3 linked regions of the Drosophila melanogaster genome follow. Changing the gene in region 1 together with any one later gene gives a genetic interaction. Each region holds a gene or a part of one and is shown on either strand. Other genes may lie near its edges.

Region 1 (5,171 bases):
ATACATACATATATATATTTATATACATATATACATATATACATATATATATATGTATACAGAAATGCATGTTAAAAATATATGCATGTGAAACGAAAAAAACAAAAGTTCTTAGATGTTTTGTTCTATGATCATATTACAATGATACTTTCTTATTATTGTGAGAAGGAAGTATTTGTTTATTTGAACCCACCTTTGCGAATGTTTATTAAATCAACAAATATAAGCATTTGCATTGAATCACGCTTATTGCAGTAAGCACCATAAGTGCACGTTGAACTTTTAATCAGAATACATTATTTTATACACAATAAGCACGGGTTTAAAATGTAAATGCTGAAAAACATCTAAATATTTACAAAATTAAGAAAAGCATCGCGCTTACAAACTAGTTCCATGCAAACTGAACTGGTTAAATTGAGCCATATCAGCTGTTTTATCAAGTTCCTTCGAAACGATAAGCTGAACCACCAACAAATATTTTGTATTATCGATTCGTAAATTGATATCGAAATGAAAAATCGATTATTTAGCGGTTTCTTTAAACGCTGCATTACATATTTGTATTTTGGAATGCGTTTTTTAAGCTCTAAATTTGTGCAGCGAGCCTTTTCAATTCTTAACATAGCATTTGAAACTTCACAATAAATTAACGCCACACCTATATGTATATATTACTAAAACGTTTAAGCTAACTATAACTACTCAAAAGTGTTCTCCTCCCGTTTAAGGGCACTAAAGAAGTCGGTGTTGAGTAATTTGCTGGGATCAACTGTCACAGCCGACTTCACAGCCCTTTGGTCATCCGCATTCTTGACAATGCGTTTCCATTCGGAGAGGTCGTTGACTGGATTATTGGGCTTGGCCTCCAGATGAAGGGGTTTCAGCATGAAATGGGCTTTAACCAGTTGGTTTAACAAACGCACTAAATGACAGGAAAATATTTAAAAAGTTAGCAACGGAAAATATGGAATGTTGTTAGGTCATTTACAATGTATTGACTGAAAACCAAGCAGGTTCGCATGCTCGCTCCACCAGTTGCATATGAGGCTAAGGTAATGCTTGGTCGTCTCCTCGGAGTCGCGAAACAGACAGGTGAGGTAATACTCGTGAAAGACAAGGGACAGAAGGTGCACTGCGATGCGGGAGATCTCGCCAACTTCTTCGGTGCCTAAATAGAAAGCACAAATATTGATTCGTGTCATTGATCATATGAAAATGATTTTTTTTTAGCTCAAACGCACCTGCTTTCCTGCTGTGCAACATCCATTGGTGCATCACCTGGAAGACAATTGTTACCGCACTGAGGCACAACTTTACATAGCACTCGCAGCCTTTTCCTCGCTGCGTTGTACTTGAATTTGAATTTTGATTCGGGTTCGAAACAGACGCTGATGTCGATCCATTGGAGACCGATCCCTGCACAGCTCCTGTGGAGTTGAAGCTCAGACTGGTGCCTGTTTTCATCAGAGTACCATCGCTGGAGTCCTCGTCGCCATCGTCGGCAAAGTAAGGCAGCATTTCAAGTATGAAATCCGGTGGGTTTTTGAAGCACTCGAACGCGAATCGCACATGATTTCCTCCGATCTTGAGCAGCAACTGAAAGTAGTCCTGCCGCAGAGGAGTTTCACTAAAGAAGCATAGCTCGAGTAGGCCCGCGTAGACCTGAAGTAAACAGGAGTCGGGACCAAATCGATAAACGGAGCGAACGCGATCCGATACAAAGCAGTCCTTGGGACTATTCACACACATTTTATCCATAAGTTGGGGATGTCTAAGGCAGCTTAAAAAGCAGGAGCTAAGCTCAGCAAAAACCCAAGGACTGGGACGAGTAAAAACTAACTGCTTAAGCAGATCGAAGAGTAGCTCCTCGTTATGTTGAAGAAGGGCATTTTCTTGTAGGAGGCTATTTAGGAGTGAAGTCAAGGCTTCCAGCAATCCAAAGTGTTGGCCGACCTCGTAGGAAAATCCTAGTTTTGTGATAGCTTCAATAGCCATATCTAGCAGTCCCAGATCATTTTCTTTCCACTCCGTGAGACCTCTAGAAATCCTTTCCTCTCGCCGGCAAATCAAAGCCAAGGTAGCTATGAAGCGACGCAGCGGAACAGCCTTTTCGTTATCATACAAACAGCTCTGATGGGTCAGGGAAATGCGATGAACTTCCTCCTCTAGGTTGTGGGGATTGTAGGGATACAGCATGCAGTTGTGTGGAAAGTCCAAACTTTGAGCATACGAAGCAAACTCCGTGAATACCTTGCCGACCGACGAGAGTATTCTTGGCAGGAGGTTATCCACAGATTCCGGCTTTGCCTGCAGCCGAGCGTAATGAAGTAGCAGTTGCTTTAATTCCAGTTCAAAATGATTTCTTCGTTTCTTAGTCTGATCCTCATTTTCGCTGTATTCGAACACACTGCCATTATCGGTTTTCAGCCCGGGCACAGATCTGTGTATGTTAAGCCTATTCAAGCGAAGTGATAAGCGTTTCTCCAAAGGATCTGGAGCAGCCTGTAAAATGCTCATGCTGGAATTCATGCTTCTTTCATGGGCTTTTTGCTGTGTCTTCAACTTTGAGAACTCGGCGTTCTTAATCTTCAACTCGATGTCCTTGGCCGCAATTTGTTTGGCCGCTTCTGCCACTTTTTTGTTGCAATCCCGATTCGTTTCGTCGGCCAAAGCCAGCTTTTCCATTTTGCTAGCCTGCAGCTGCTGGCGCAAGTGCTTCAGCTCATCACGAAGTAAGGAAACCTAGAGAAATAAATATAAATGGATTAGTTTCTGTAAGGTCTAGAATCGGTGTTATAGTTCCACCCCGATGTCCACCTACCTCACCAGACTTGATCTCATTGCGTTCCTTACTGTCGCCCAAATTCTTTTCCAGCTGCGCGTTTTCCCGCTTAAGGGCTTCAATCCTATCCATGAGAAACTTTAGCTGATGCTCCTGCTGGCGGGATTGCGTGGCATTGATGGTCGTCGTGGTCGTGGTTTTCTGCTGAACACTTATGCTGCTGGTAGTTATCCTACTTGTGCTGGTCTTCGGCTCCGGCATCTTTTGTGGCTCACTGTCCATGAGGGTAACGGCCAGAAAATCGAAATCATCATCATCCGCGAAAATCGCATCCATATCCAGGGAAGTAGGCTTCTTTTGTGGCGGCGGTGGCGGCGGAAACATTTGCTGTGTGCTGGTTGAGCCCTGAAAAGTGGGTGCAAATTCGCTGAAGGTGACCTCGCTGTTGCCGATGTCCACCTCTGTTCCGCCCTTCTTTTTCCGCTCCTCCGCCTCGATTTCCGCCTCCGCCAGCTGGGTGGCCATCAGGATGACATCGTCATCGTCGTCCCAGAGAATCCCATCGAAATTGTTCCTCGGTGGACTGGGTCGCGCTGATCCGCGGGTAACGCTAACATCCAGGCGCGGTTTCTTGCACCGCGCGAAGTCTTTCATGGCAGAAAAGCGCTTGGCCATGGTTCCTCCAGTTTCCGCTATATTTCGTTACTTTTTGGCCATGGAAAGTCGTAGATTATTTTGCCGGTTTGCTTTGTTTATAAAATGTAGAGCTCAACTAGCGTTGCCAGATGGATTTGATCGCAACGATGGATTTGCCCAACCAAAATAGAGATTATGTTTCGAATCCATGTTGCATAGAAAAATACTACATTAGGATTTACTGCAACAAAAAGCCAGTTTTGTAATATCGCTCTTTGTTATTATGCTGGTTTTTTTTAAGCGCCGATAGAAACCCGCTACAATCACAGTTTCAAAATCCGATTAATATTGAGCAAAACCAAAGTCATCTGGCTACACTCAAGTCTATCGACTGCGGTGTATCGGCATGTGGTGTATCGACTCAGCTTTCCCATTAACCTCAAAGGAAAATCAAAGAATTCTGCGGAAATTCTAGCCCAAAACTAAAGGACTTACGGGGAAACCAGAACCCAGCGACTTCGGTCGAATTTTCGAGGTGACGGGCGGCGCGAATGGAACGCCATGCCAGCGAAGAGGATGACGGTCACCACAGCAGCAGCTTCGACCATCAGTGGAGCCAGTGGGTCCACCACGAATAATGGTCAGTCTGGTGGCGGTGCACGCCCACTGGAGACGCTAAACGGAATGACCAGGCTGACCCCCGCCCGCGACTTGACCCTTGGTGGGCGCGGCGCTGGGACAGCCAGCAAAAAGGTCTTTGCTCCCAATTTGAATGCTGTGCGCAATAAAAATGCGTGAGTTGTGGAATGGCCCAGGGGGAGTCATTCTTTTCATCATCTCATTTGATTCACAGCAATGTCAAGACATCCAAGGACACCACGCAGCCAAGGAGCGGCCGCAGAGGTGGACGTGGCAACGGCACTGGAGCAACACGTGGTCGAGGTGGAAATTCCGCTGGCGGGGGCAACTCCACGCTCATCCAAACCCAGGGACTCTTCTCCGAAGGAGCAGGCGATGTTCATGTGCGAAGGTCCACAGGAAATGGAACGGCATATGCACGGGGCGGTGAGGAGGTGTCCGTGACCAGGAAACGGGTGGATCGCAAGGACGACAAGAGCCAGGCCGAGCGGATCAAGGAGCTCTTGGGCGAGTCGGACGCCAGTGGCGGCGAGCTCAGCGAAGAGGAGGCTAACAAGACTGAGATGGCACTCAGGCCCATCCTGCTAAAAGAGGGTACGTTTTACAAGCACTTTTTGATGCACACGGGCAGAAGAAATTCATGCTTTATTTGTTTATAAACGTTAGGACTCTGGGTCACCCAGAAGACACCGATTGCGAAGCAAGAAATCGCCAGTTCAACCTCAACACTTAAGGGTAAGGCGCTAAGCTTTAAAAATGGCATAATCTAATTTGATTTCGCTCCTAGACACTTTGGCAGTGGCCCAGCATTTGCAACAGCTGCATGTGGCTGCCCAGGCAGCCAGTTTAGAGGAACCTCCGCTGCAGTACGGTCGCTACCCACGCACCATTGGTAACTTTCTGGACTCCAGCGAAGCGCAGATCTTTCTCATGCAACTGCCAGATGTGTTGCCATGTGTGGGCGACGATTCCGAAGATCCGGAACCGTCTAAAGGAGATCATCAGGCCACCAGTGAATCGGAACCAGCAAGTCCTGCAGACAAATGCTCAAACGGACCCAAGGGCAGTGTACTACGGCAGCTGGAAGAAGGGCAGATCGGCAAGATTCTGA
Region 2 (4,576 bases), on another chromosome or scaffold:
GATTTCAAAATTATTTCTGTTTTGGTTACGATATAACTCCTACCTTGGTCACAATAAGCACATCCTGTGGATGCCAACGCATCGTTACCTTTACTATGTGCTCGAATGCTTCATCCCGGTGCGAATTGTACGCACAAAGACCAGCCAAAATATTAAGGCACAGACGCGTTATTGTTCCATGATCTGCATCTACAGATCGCTCCCTCTGCATGGCTAAAATATTCCACTCTTCAATTATTAAAGCGATACGTTAATTGAAAACTACATTACAATGCAACTTGAGAGCAGCGCCAACAAATTCCACCAACATTTCAATGGGTTGCCTTTCCAAATAATCGAGTAAGACTAAATTCGTCCTGAATACATCAAGTACATAGATTTCCAGACGTAAAATCTCTGGTAAATCGCTCTTATCTAAAATCTCAGCTCCGTTCGCCTTGAGCTGGAACTGAAATGGGTATTAGAAAACGAGTTTTTGAAAGATTATTCATTTGGCACCCACCTCAATGTGGCTGAGATATAGTCCAATTCTTTTTATAAGTGGACAGCCAGTATAGGTATCTGCATCGAAAACCTTGTAATGCAAAAGCCTTTCCATTGTGCAGATCAACTTTAATAGACTATTCAGGTTTTTTATTATTGCCGCCGGTTTGTTCTCCTTCGCGATCTCAAAGTTAAGGCCTCGCATTAGGCAATCATAATTGGATTGAATCAAACAATTCTTTGTTTCGCTCTGAATGTGAGTGATTGACTCAAAAGGAGTGGCGTAGTCCTTGTCAAAGCAAATAAGCTGTTCGTTGTACTTGTAGGCCAAAAGATTGCGTTCGGTGGAAGGAACAATGTGTTCTGATTGAGAGATCTGTCGCAATTGCTGGACATCCAAAAAATTTATAATGCTGATTGCAAAAGTATCCGCCTGCAACTGGGCATCAATACTGTCTATATTGTGTATCATCTGAGCGGCGATGAATCTATCCGCACTTCCGTATGCCCAAGCTATGATGGGTTCTAAGTCAGCGGACGCCTTATCTTGACCACATTTATCAGCATGGATGAAGATCTCTCGAATCGTCGCTAAGCATTCGTTGCGCTTTAGCATTTCATTCGAGATAATATTGTTAAGCAGCGTGCTGGACAACTTTTGATTTAGTTTATTGTGTCTGATCAGCATCTGCAGCACCAATTGCTTCTCCTTGATCTCCTCACTGTTTGTTGTTGTCTCTGATATGAGCTGGTTTGCCATTTGACTCCAAAGCTCACCCAGAAAATCCTCCCGAATAGATTTAGAGTGCAAAAGCTCCTGTTCTTTAGTCAAAAGATGAGCCAGGCATAACCGAAGGTTCCGGAGATTTTTCGCATTGCCGTACATTTGCATTATTTCCGCCACGGTGGTTAGCGCCATTTGGTAGTTGGCCACATTTAGGATCACGCTACTCAGCTGAAGTATCTCAGTGAATATCGCAAGCCAGACGTCGTTAAAGGTGTTTTCCTTTTTGTCGATCAGACTAAATATAGTTTCCATTTTATCTGCAGGCTTCGGGATCTTTTTCGGCGCATCGCCTTCCCCATTTTCATCAGCCTTTTTCGTCTCCAAGTGCCAAAGCACCTGCAAATAATAATATAATTAAAATTAAATATATTAAATATTACTAGCTTATGCGACGTACTATATACATAGCCAGGGCAGACATCTTGATGAAGGGGTCAGAAAATTTATTATTGCTCAGTAGTGCGTTCTTGCAGCGAGCCCAGGAATTCTTTCGGATCTCCACATTGACAATAGTTTTCAGCCGCAGTAAAGTTTGCGGCCACTTTTCATGAACAGGCACACCGAGTGTATTAAAGTCACACATATCCATTTTGAGATACATTGAATGGAGCGACTTTGAAACGCACTGAAAGAACAGATTTCTGGTGTCGTCCCGGAACGCATCCTCGTCATGATACTCGCATAGTTTAGGTAGAATCTCCTGCATGTGCACGTTCAATTGGTGATTGTAGTTGACAGCAAGCTGAAAGATTGTTGCAAAGTTTTTAACATTATCTAAAGATATAATAAGAGTCCTACCTCTGATGCAAATATTAAGTAGACGCGAACAATCTCAGTTTTTCTGGCTCCAAAAGCGGAGAGCGCAAAGCTGCTGAGCTCCGGCAGATATTCCACTAGATCCACGTGCAGCTGAACCCGGTCCTTGGCCAAACTGACGGTTCTTGTGATGCATTTCAGTATTCTGGTTCGCAAGACCTCGTCCATATCGACATTCAGTTCAAAAAGATAGGAGAGAATCCCTGTAATACATCATCAAATTAAAAAAAAGAGTCTCTTTTGGGCCAGAAAGTAACTTACTACTGTATTCGTTAATTTTAAGGTCGCGCACATAGCTGACCGATGAGTAAATGCCCTTTTCCAGCAGGCTCAGAATGCGGTCGCCAAAATACTTGACTACCACTCGCATCTTGATGCCATCCTCGAATGCACTAAATATGCTTGTTTTGGCCAGGAAATGCCCATTTCCGGAGGTCTGCGACCCCGCTGGAAATCACAGGTTAGCTTTAATAACGTGTTTAAGTGTTTAGGAGTTACCTTCCAAGTTGAATTGTGTGATCTTCTCGAGGACATTATCGTACAAGTAGTTTTTTCCCGCCAGCGTTTTGAATACTTTCTCGTTGACATCCTCCAGATTTCCAGCTTGCTATCATTAGGTTAACAATTAAAATGGAACTGATTGTTTAACGATAATGGCTAGGAACCTTAAAGAGAGCCTCCTTCGACGCTTCAAAGATTGTGGTCCAGGATATATCCGAAGTTTTGCTAAGAAACAACTTATCCAGATCCTCTCGGCAACTTGAGAGCTTTTCATCCAGCTGTTGGATGCCCTTGTTTCGGCTGGCTGCCTTCCCCGACTGAAGGTCCCCGAGTATCCGCTGGATTTCGTTTAGAAGTGCACTCATCCTGGCTGCCCGGCATAACCTGTTGTAATGTTGTATTAATTATTAAACTAAACATAAAATGATCTCTCAAAATGTACTTAGAGTGACCTCTGCCAGAGCGCCAAAAAATACCACGATCAATAAGAACAGCACTGTTGTTAAATGGCTGGGCAGCCGTGTGCGTCAAATAAGTGCCGATGGAGAACTAGAATAACCTTATATAACGAAAGATTTATAAATAAAAAAATCCCATGTTCCATATTCCACTGTTCCTTCATTAATTATTCCTATATTATGAATTATATTCATTAAGAAAGGAATAGGAAATGTGGTTTTTAAAGTAACAAGCTACGTTCAGCGCTTCTACTACATATTAGCCAATTTCTACGACTTTACAGTTTCGGTGTGAACGTTCTGCGTCAACATTTCTGGACTTCTGTGTGAAGCGCTTATTAGGGTGGCCAAGAATTTTGCGGTTACACCCCTGGGAATTTAGTACTAAAATTGTTGATGGCTTTGGTAACACTTTTGCTTGTATATAAAAGGCATTCGCAAATTTTGTACGGGTGTAATTCAGAAAAAAACGCCAGCCAGTTTGATCGAAGGTGCGGCAGATTAAAAGTGAAGTAGCAATTAAACGGTTATATTTTAGTACTTTCTAAGAAACAACACACAAGGTAAGCGTTTATTTACATTTTAGTATTTATTTCGTTGTTAAAAAAAGTGCGACCACCTCGATTAAGTTTGCCGGAAAATAATTTGAAATCAAACCACGTGTTTTTTGTAGCCCCTTTACTATTTAATCAATACTCTCAAAGAAGGCAAGGTTTCTCGAACTTTCGACCCCAGTGAGTAACGCTTCGATGCACACTTACATACATAATTGCAAAGGTGCATCATAGAGCGCCTATTAATTAGGCAAATTAAGATTCTAGAAACTTTGGAAGTTCTGACTAATTGCATATTGATGCCTAATGCTTGATTGTGATTATCTGGAATATTCCACTGGAAAACGTGCCGCTTCCCACTCACTGCAGTCACAGTCTACTTTCGGTTGAGTGAGTATGTGTGAGAGAAAACTTGCGTCATCCGTTGCGGGGTCTTGACATTGCTTGTGATTTTTATTGTTTCTGTTTCCAATAAATCAATGTCCAAGTTACTCATCGTAATTGGTAATTTATTTTGAGTGCCATTGCTCTTTTGCTGGAATATTCCAGCTTGGGAAAAATGTGAGGCTTCCCCCCCCCCCACACAACCACACAAAAATGCGTGCATGTCTGATCATTTAATTTTAATGCTATACTGCTATAGAAACATGTTGGATTCCCTTACATACAGTCAAGGCATATAAACATTGTTTATAAATAGAACTAACATTCATAAATTTATACATTATGCGGCCTTTTATTAAATATACTTAGCTAAAAAAAAACACGTTGCCAACCGGCATTCAAAGTGCGGGCACGTGTGTTTGTGAGCGGGTAAAACCAACACACGCAAAGCCGTCCCGGACACAGTGGTTGTCTCCCTCGCTCGCACATACGAATCACCCTCCAAAATGACCTGGCTTCAGCAGCGTGGTTTACATATATTTAAGTATATGCATGTGTGTGTGTGCTTGTGAGGGCGCGTGTGTTTGCGTTTT
Region 3 (7,602 bases), on another chromosome or scaffold:
CGTCTACACTCAGTATTTCCCCGACAAAAGTCTGGAGGGCGAGTACGAGTTCGCCGCCAAGATGCTGGGTACTGAGATGAACAGAAAAGGCCACTGGAACCTCACCCTCTACGATTACAGGTGGGCACCGAGTTGCATGGAAATATGTATTTCCCAAGCTGTGTTGCAAACACCAGTATTGTTGATAGCTTTTGGCTTACATGACAACCTATCGCTCACTTTATTTACTTCCTCAGTCAAACCACCAGCGTTAGGCGCATCGGCGGTCCGGGCTCACTCATCAAGGTCCATGTGGAGGTGGACCGCATCGGCGGAATGGAGCTGCACATTGAGAACTTGCTGCAGGGACAGCCCCTCAACCAACTGGCCGATGGAGTCATCAACAGCATGTGGCAGCTGGGATTGCCCTTCATCAAGCCGATGATTAACGAGTTGGTTAGCACGGCATTTACGGATATATTCAACGAGTCCTTCCGGCACTTTCCGCTCGAGAAGTTCCTCGCCACGTGACCTCATCTAGTTAACCATACTGTATCTCTGTATCTCTTTTGTAGTATTTTTAATGGAACTTATAACAAAGGCTAGTTAATTAAACACTTAGACCACATCCGCCAAAGCACTCGGAATTGCTTCGATCTGGGGCTGCGCCACGGACGGTTGCAGGGACATCTGAGCCAGGGATCGGGCAAAGAGCTTGCTTAGCGAGATGATCACGTAGGAGGAGCTCTGCAACTGCTGATCCACCGTTTCGTATAGGAGTTGATAGGCCTGCTCCAGCTCCGGTGTGAGGGTGGCTTGATAATATGGACAAAATATAATTTCAATATGAAATGCTGTAAAACTTAATGATACCAATCTTAAGGGAAATATATGTATTAGGTGTCAGAACTAATATATAAACTACAACAATTTTTAAGAATTCAAGGATACAAGCATAAAGAACTACTGAAATCCGTCGAGATCACGGGAACTATAAAATATTTCGACTGATTTTTCCTTTCATGTGTCTTGTTATTTAGTGTCGATATTTCTCTCTCGTACTCCACATTCTTCATTTTGTTCTTATACACAAACTATTGTTTTAGTTTTTGATACTGCTTATAACTACATTGTATTTACTTACGTTTTTGCTGCAGCGTTTGCTTGCCGAGGTCGAACATGAATCGCAGGTAGCACAGCTGATTGTACAGGTCCCGCTCCGTATACTGACGCAGCAGGCTGCCGCTCCTGCACTTTTGGCACAGCGGGCGGTGGGATTTCTTCCTCAAGGAGTGTGTGCGGGTGTTGAAGTTGCAATCCGGGTGATCGCAGACCAGCCAATTTTTATAGAACCGTTGCACATACTGCCGCATGGAAAGCTGCAGCTGATTGCGCACGCTTGCCAGGTACTGAATCGGTGCCGTTTGGCACTCGGACTTAGCGCATTGCTGGAGTACGGCTATGTGGGAGTTGCTTGGACCCGGTCGGTACGCAGACGCCATCAGCTGCTCCGTCTTACAGGTAACGCACTGGAAGCGGAACGGTTCGCACAGGCGATACAACTGCAGAGTCGTCTTGAGCAGGGACTCACCCTCCGACTGCTCGGTGTTCTCTCGCTGGGTTCTACATAACCAAAATATTCGTTAGGTTAGAGTTTGTAAGGAGTAATAAGATAGTAAGTACCTCTGCGCATTCTGACGGAACTTGGTTGGGTCCATGCCCAGACACTCGGCGATGCGACTCGCATCGGTTCCCTCCAGCACCTCCACCATTCGCGTGACTACCGGATGGATCTGGTGTCCCAGGTAGTAATTCGTGTCCAGCTGCAGCTTCTTATCCTCACTGGTCTTGAGCTCATCCAAATGGTATGCTCGCTGCATGGCAGCATTTGTTGTCCCATCCAAACAGATCACATAGTCCACCATATCGCCCTTTTTGTACCGCCTATTACGCTCGCGATTCATACGAAGGGCCACCTGGACGTGGGGCAATGAAGCACTATTGGCATATTCCTGGGGAGTCCGAGTTAACTGTTTGGTGATGACAAACAGTGGCAGCGGTACTACACCCTCTGCAATTTGAGTTTTGATCTTCTCCAGTTGGGCATGCACTGCATCCAGTTTCTCCTCCAAAGGCTTTTCCGACAGCACTTCATCGAGAACGGCTTTTCCCACCATTACAGCCAGCTGAGACCAATCGCGACGTACTATATCCAGGCCCTTGTGCTCCTGTTCACGCCTCAGGTTTCCCTTGGAATCCTTGCTCAACTTGATAGCGGCATACTTCTTTTTCTTCAGCAAGAGCAAACAGCCAAATACTCCATCGATATCCAATTCCAGCTGCTTGTATAGTTTATTTACACTCTGCTTAATATTGTGACCAATCTTGTAGACCTGGTCGTAGTCGGTTATGTTGGTATTTATCATCAGGGAATCTGTGTCTCCATAAACAACGTCATAGTTCATCTTTTGCACGAGTTGTTGTGTGTTCGTGAGGATTTCTCTGCCCTTGTGGGTGACCAAAGCAGCCAAGTGCTGGGCAAAGAACCGGGAGTGGGCGAAACCCAAGCAACCATACATGGAGTTCGCAGTTAGCTTCAGGGCCATCTGCCGAATGTGGTACTGCATCTGGAGTTCCGGCGAAAGATCAGGCGCTGCCATTAGCTTTTTCACCTCTTTTCGCGACTCCACCAAGCGTTTCAATTGAAGGGGTAAGATTCCAGGTTCCGTTTTCGAGTCGGGTAGGGTGGGCAACTCATCTGCATCCACCGGCTGTTGGACGGTGGTGAAGCATATGTTGTACTCCTGTATTATACTGGGGTACAGGGAGTTAAAGTCCATGAGGAGAACGTACTTCTCGTAGAGACCACGCATGGGCTCCAACACTAAGCCACCAGCATAGGCTGCCTTCTTTTTGGTTTGCATCGTCGCATCTGCACCTGAAAGCGTAGCATCCGTATCTCCTGCACCACTTCGTTTAGAAACCGGCTTCTTGTCCGGCACTATGTAATTCTTCTCGTGGAAGGCATGCAGCAACAAGAACTCATTTCGTTCAGAACGACCTCCTTGAAGGGTCCTGGTCATGGTATTGCCGCAGATATTAGTGATTTGTAGCGCCAACGGCATGATGTTGAGCTCACACATCAGCCTTAGTAAATATGAATTGTCCTGCATGGTGAGCGATATGAGCTTGGTAATGCTTTCTCCTTTCTCATACATCTCTAGCAGATCATCGGCATTCACTTCCATTCTCTCCGATTCCTTAAGCTTCAGTACTTGTTTGCATAGCGTTTGCAGATCATAGGATCTTGCTCTTATACACTCCTCTGCAGATCGCTTTACATCACAAACCATTCTGCCGACGAAATGTTCCAGCAATCGCTTGCCAAACGATTGGCTCAGCCTCAGTCGCCCCATTCGAGACCATTGGGGAATCTTCAGGGCTACAATTTGATCGGTTATTACATTTAGTTGACAATCCATGGAATCGAAGGTTACAATGAGATCTGCATCTATTTTCTGGTACTGAGCTAAGAACCAACTCAACAGGGCTCTCTCTGAGTCATGTTTGTGCACTGTGGTAGACTTATATTTTGCCATCTCAAAGTTCAAATCTAAAGGCCAACTAACCACCGCCGGGCGAGTCAAAGCGCACATATGTCGATTGAAAGCGGGCTGTGGAGCAGGGCGGTCGATATGGAAACGATTGTGGGTCAGCATGGAAATCATGCATATCTCGTTTCTCGATGTTTTCGGATTCATTGAGGTGCGAACATTAAGCGATAGTAGCGTAAGTGGAGGTGGTGGCGCTGGCTTTCCCTTATCTTGCACCAACTCTACATTCTTGGGCTCTGTCAATGTGACCTCGGTGTTACACCAACTCATGGGAGTTGGGCTCACCTTGAATCCAGTCACCTGCAGCCAACAGGGACCTTTGATTTTCCGATCTAAGAGGAATCTTTCGAGTGCATTGGTGGTGGCGCCGAATATGTGTGCTATAGAATTGTATTTCTTGTCAGCCGACAAATTGGGCAGTGGTTTCTTTCCATCGTAGTGAACCTCCAAGTAATCGCAAGATTGCGGAACTTCAATACCGATAGCGTGATGGGCAAAACTCTTGGTGACCTTGCGGGATCGAAAGAACTCGAGCTTCAGTTGGTTTGCCACCTCGCTGTCGAACTCCTTGTATATGTCTGCGACGGTCACCTTCTGCTTGGTGGGCTCCTTCGAAATGGGATCTAAGAGCTAAAAGAATATATTCAGAAACAACACTTCACCTAAGGACTAAGTATTTGTAGAATAATACTCACAAATTGTCGGGGCAGCAGATAGAGCACACGGTTGATGTTCTGTACACGCAGACAGACGGACTTTCCATCTGCGGTCCGACCGAACAGGAAGACTTCGCCGGGCATTTTTACTGGATCCTCATAGGCCTCCCAGTACCAGAACCGAAGCTGTTGATCTGAGGAGATTGTCGAATCCTGCTCCGTGGTGAGCACGGACTTTTCAAAATCATCGTCCATTTGGCATATAGACTCCCAATTGTTCAGCAACCTACTAATGTCCTCCGATTCCGATTCCTTTGGCGATCCAGTTGTTTCTTTTTTGGGAGCTGATTTTTCGGCGACTTTGCTTTGGGATGTTTTCTCAGCTGCTGTTTTCGTTTGGGAAACCTTCTCGGTCTGCTGTGTCTTCTCCACATCAAACTGGTTTTCATCGTCATCCAGACAGCTAAAGTCCATTTCATTGTCGGAGAATGGATCTTCGGTGGCTTTTTTTGCAGGTGTCTTTTCAGGCATGGGCTCTTTTTTGATTGTAGGACTGGAGAAAAAGGCCACCTTTGTGTTTGGAACTGCTGCCTTGGGCTTCAGAATGCGCTCCAGCATCTCGTTATCGCTACTGGCCTCCGCTTTCTTACGTTCCTGCTCCTGAACTTTGATGTTGTTTAGAAAACTATTCATGTATTCCTTGGCAGCGGCGGCATCGAATTTACGCGACGTAACTGATATTTTCGCTGGGGCTATAACCTTTTCCGCCTTTTCTGACGTCGCTGCAGGCTCTTCCTTTATTTCGCCCAAAATATCAGCAAGGATATCATCGTCTTTCACACTGGTCTTTACATCCATCTTTTTGGGCACTGCATTGCTGAATAGATTCTTGATGGATGCTTTTCCTGTTACTGGTTTTTCATTCTCCCGTGGTCTCTTTTTGCTGTTGGGGGCAACACCCTTCTTCTTCTTCGAGTCCTTCCGATCCTCCTCCCCATCGGAGTACTCATCTTCGTCCTCGAAGAAATCCCGAAGATCTTCTGCATAACCAGTACCATCTAAAAGTTAAAATTTAGTATTATAAAGTATAGAGTTCAGAGTTCCAACTTACCCTCTTCGATCCAATCGTCACCGTACTTTTCCTGCGCCCTCTTCGCGTACTCCCGCTCATCAACCACATCGTATACATCGTCCACCTGGTCCTCCACTTTGCATTTGTTCTTGGTTCCCTTCAGCTGACGCAGTCGCTCCATGGCGGCGAACCTACCATTTTTGTCTACTCTCTGGCGCTTAGCGCGCGGTTCAGCTGGAAATTTATAATTTCGGTAAAAAATATGTTTAAGGGAGTTATCTTATTAACTTACACGGTGATTCAGACATTGCAACTGGCTAACTTTGATAATAATTTCCCCGTGTTGTGCTGCAGTTTGCAAAAATTGTTTTGTGACCAGGGCTGGAGGATGATCAAAGCGGGAATGGCGGGAACATATCGATAACAGAGCTACGATACATAAAGCGCTGCCGGACTTTTGCAATGTAATATCGATAGTGTCGTTAAGAAGAGGAAGAATGTAAGGAAATTAAAAAAAATAAAAGCCATACAATAACTTAATCCCAAATTGCAATTTTATTATTAAGTAACATCTCTATTTTATGAATTTCTGAGTGGTAATATATCGATAGGTGGCAGCGCGTTATGTTAGCTCTGGGCACTGTTAGCGTCTAATCTGTAAGCACAAATGATCGATTACAGTTAACACGAATAGTTAACATAACAGTTACAGCGATTTAAAATGACTGCTATATTTTGGCGGGAAATCCGACCTGATAATTGAAATGAATTCACCAAGTAAGAAAGAACAATGATCACCATTTAAAGGGCGTTCTTTTAGATTTTACATTTTCGAGCTTCAGCTTTTTAATTGCAGTGGATCACAAAAAGAAAAACTTTTCCATTAGCAGTTGCTCCATGAAGATCCCCTTTTAATGTGCTTGTCATATGTTTTTATTCCCAAATTAAAAGACAATAGTTTGTTTGGTTTTAATCGTATTTTATTTATCATGCATAATATTAGGCTTATAAGATATATATAATATTATACTTTAAATACAATATACAGCAATTTCGATTAAAATTTGTGTGGATTTGAAAGGTGATTTCATACCCTATATAATTATCAATGCAAAATCATGGTTTATATATATACACACATACACAAAACAGACTTACATATTACATGAATACATATATTTATGACTATATTTGCTGTTTAATTGTTATAAGCAAAAATTCGTACATATTTACAATTTAATAGTAAATATTTAGAATTTCTGCACTTGCAGTCGTTATATTTTACAATTATTTTCGGGTGTGTTGGTGAGGAAAGATTTCGGAAGATGAGAAAATATGGAAAATACTGTTTTAGGATAGGGTGATCGAGAGGAACTATAGAAAGGATATTAAAATGTCAGTCTACCAGAATGTACAGCAAAGCAGATAAAATAAGATAAAGGAGGGCAGTTAAGCAAAGCAGATAAAATAAGATAAAGGAGGGCAGTTATTTAGGATCCTTGAGGTATTTTCTTTAGCTATGGGGTGTGTTATTCATTTCTATATGGTTTTCATTTTTATTTCAAGCCACAGACATGGCACAACAATTTATTATGTTTTTTTTTTATGTTTTAAGGAATTTTTCTCCGTGTATGGTTTCCATAGTTTTGGCTAAACATTTAACAACAGCAACAAATATAAAAACAACAAGAAATAATCGTTAACAAGTGCAAGATGATACTGAAATGAAAAGAGAAGAAAAAGAATCAATGAATAATTCAGTTTACAATTGGTTTAATATTATACTATGTTATTATGTAACTATATTAAATCAGAATATAAAGTGGGTTGCAATTCTTATTCCAGTATAATTACATTGCTTGCTTAAATGTATTTCATATTTTTCTAAAGTTTATTTTGTATCAAAGAATTATCTTGATCTGGAGTATTCTTAAAAATACTTAAAAAACAAAAAGTAAATGTTATTACCTTGCTCTGTGCCTGCACAGATGCAACAGATGCTAGACCCACTGTTCACGCCCTTCACACCACCTGCACGGTGGCAAAGGCACTAAAGGTGACCTTCTTGGGGAACTCCGGTCCGGGGGAGCCACGCGTCTTGATCACCGGCTTGAGAGGCTGGCGGGGCTTCAGGGAGAGCAGTCCGGCGGAGGCGGCCAGTTCCCTGAGGCGCTGGGAGAAGCCGCTGCCTGAGTGACCGGAAGTGGTGGCCGCGTTGTGGTGCTCCAGTCCAGCGCAGTCCAGAACATCCAGGCCGTTGTTCGAGCGATAAACCTGGGCG

What was found.
Region 2: of mus304 (region 1) and tefu, changing one enhances a phenotype caused by changing the other (phenotypic enhancement), as found in Drosophila melanogaster (2 studies listed by BioGRID).
Region 3: of mus304 (region 1) and PolA1, changing one enhances a phenotype caused by changing the other (phenotypic enhancement), as found in Drosophila melanogaster (one study listed by BioGRID).

Annotation. Positions count from the first base shown.
Region 1 is NT_037436.4:18,108,204-18,113,374, reverse strand, and holds mus304 (mutagen-sensitive 304), read right to left. Parts: upstream 3,562-5,171; 5' UTR 3,461-3,561; coding exon 2,825-3,460; intron 2,746-2,824; coding exon 1,245-2,745; intron 1,172-1,244; coding exon 992-1,171; intron 926-991; coding exon 702-925; 3' UTR 528-701; downstream 1-527. Other genes in the region: Polr3D (RNA polymerase III subunit D), read left to right, coding at 3,983-4,215, 4,275-4,654, 4,727-4,795, 4,848-5,171. UniProt on the Drosophila melanogaster protein: DNA damage checkpoint protein required for chromosome break repair and for genomic stability during development.
Region 2 is NT_033777.3:15,239,192-15,243,767, forward strand, and holds the start of tefu (telomere fusion), read right to left. Parts: upstream 3,046-4,576; 5' UTR 3,030-3,045; intron 2,972-3,029; 5' UTR 2,953-2,971; coding exon 2,752-2,952; intron 2,694-2,751; coding exon 2,585-2,693; intron 2,534-2,584; coding exon 2,348-2,533; intron 2,290-2,347; coding exon 2,069-2,289; intron 2,013-2,068; coding exon 1,668-2,012; intron 1,607-1,667; coding exon 503-1,606; intron 449-502; coding exon 271-448; intron 214-270; coding exon 44-213; intron 1-43. UniProt on the Drosophila melanogaster protein: Serine/threonine-protein kinase which recognizes the substrate consensus sequence [ST]-Q. Required to suppress spontaneous apoptosis of proliferating cells during development, and for their proper differentiation. Required for female fertility.
Region 3 is NT_033777.3:21,666,017-21,673,618, forward strand, and holds PolA1 (DNA polymerase alpha subunit 1), read right to left. Parts: upstream 5,735-7,602; 5' UTR 5,630-5,734; coding exon 5,614-5,629; intron 5,556-5,613; coding exon 5,361-5,555; intron 5,308-5,360; coding exon 4,289-5,307; intron 4,224-4,288; coding exon 1,663-4,223; intron 1,603-1,662; coding exon 1,124-1,602; intron 795-1,123; coding exon 598-794; 3' UTR 546-597; downstream 1-545. Other genes in the region: Jhbp16 (juvenile hormone binding protein 16), read left to right, coding at 1-120, 237-510; CG31176 (uncharacterized protein), read right to left, coding at 7,344-7,602. UniProt on the Drosophila melanogaster protein: Catalytic subunit of the DNA polymerase alpha complex (also known as the alpha DNA polymerase-primase complex) which plays an essential role in the initiation of DNA synthesis.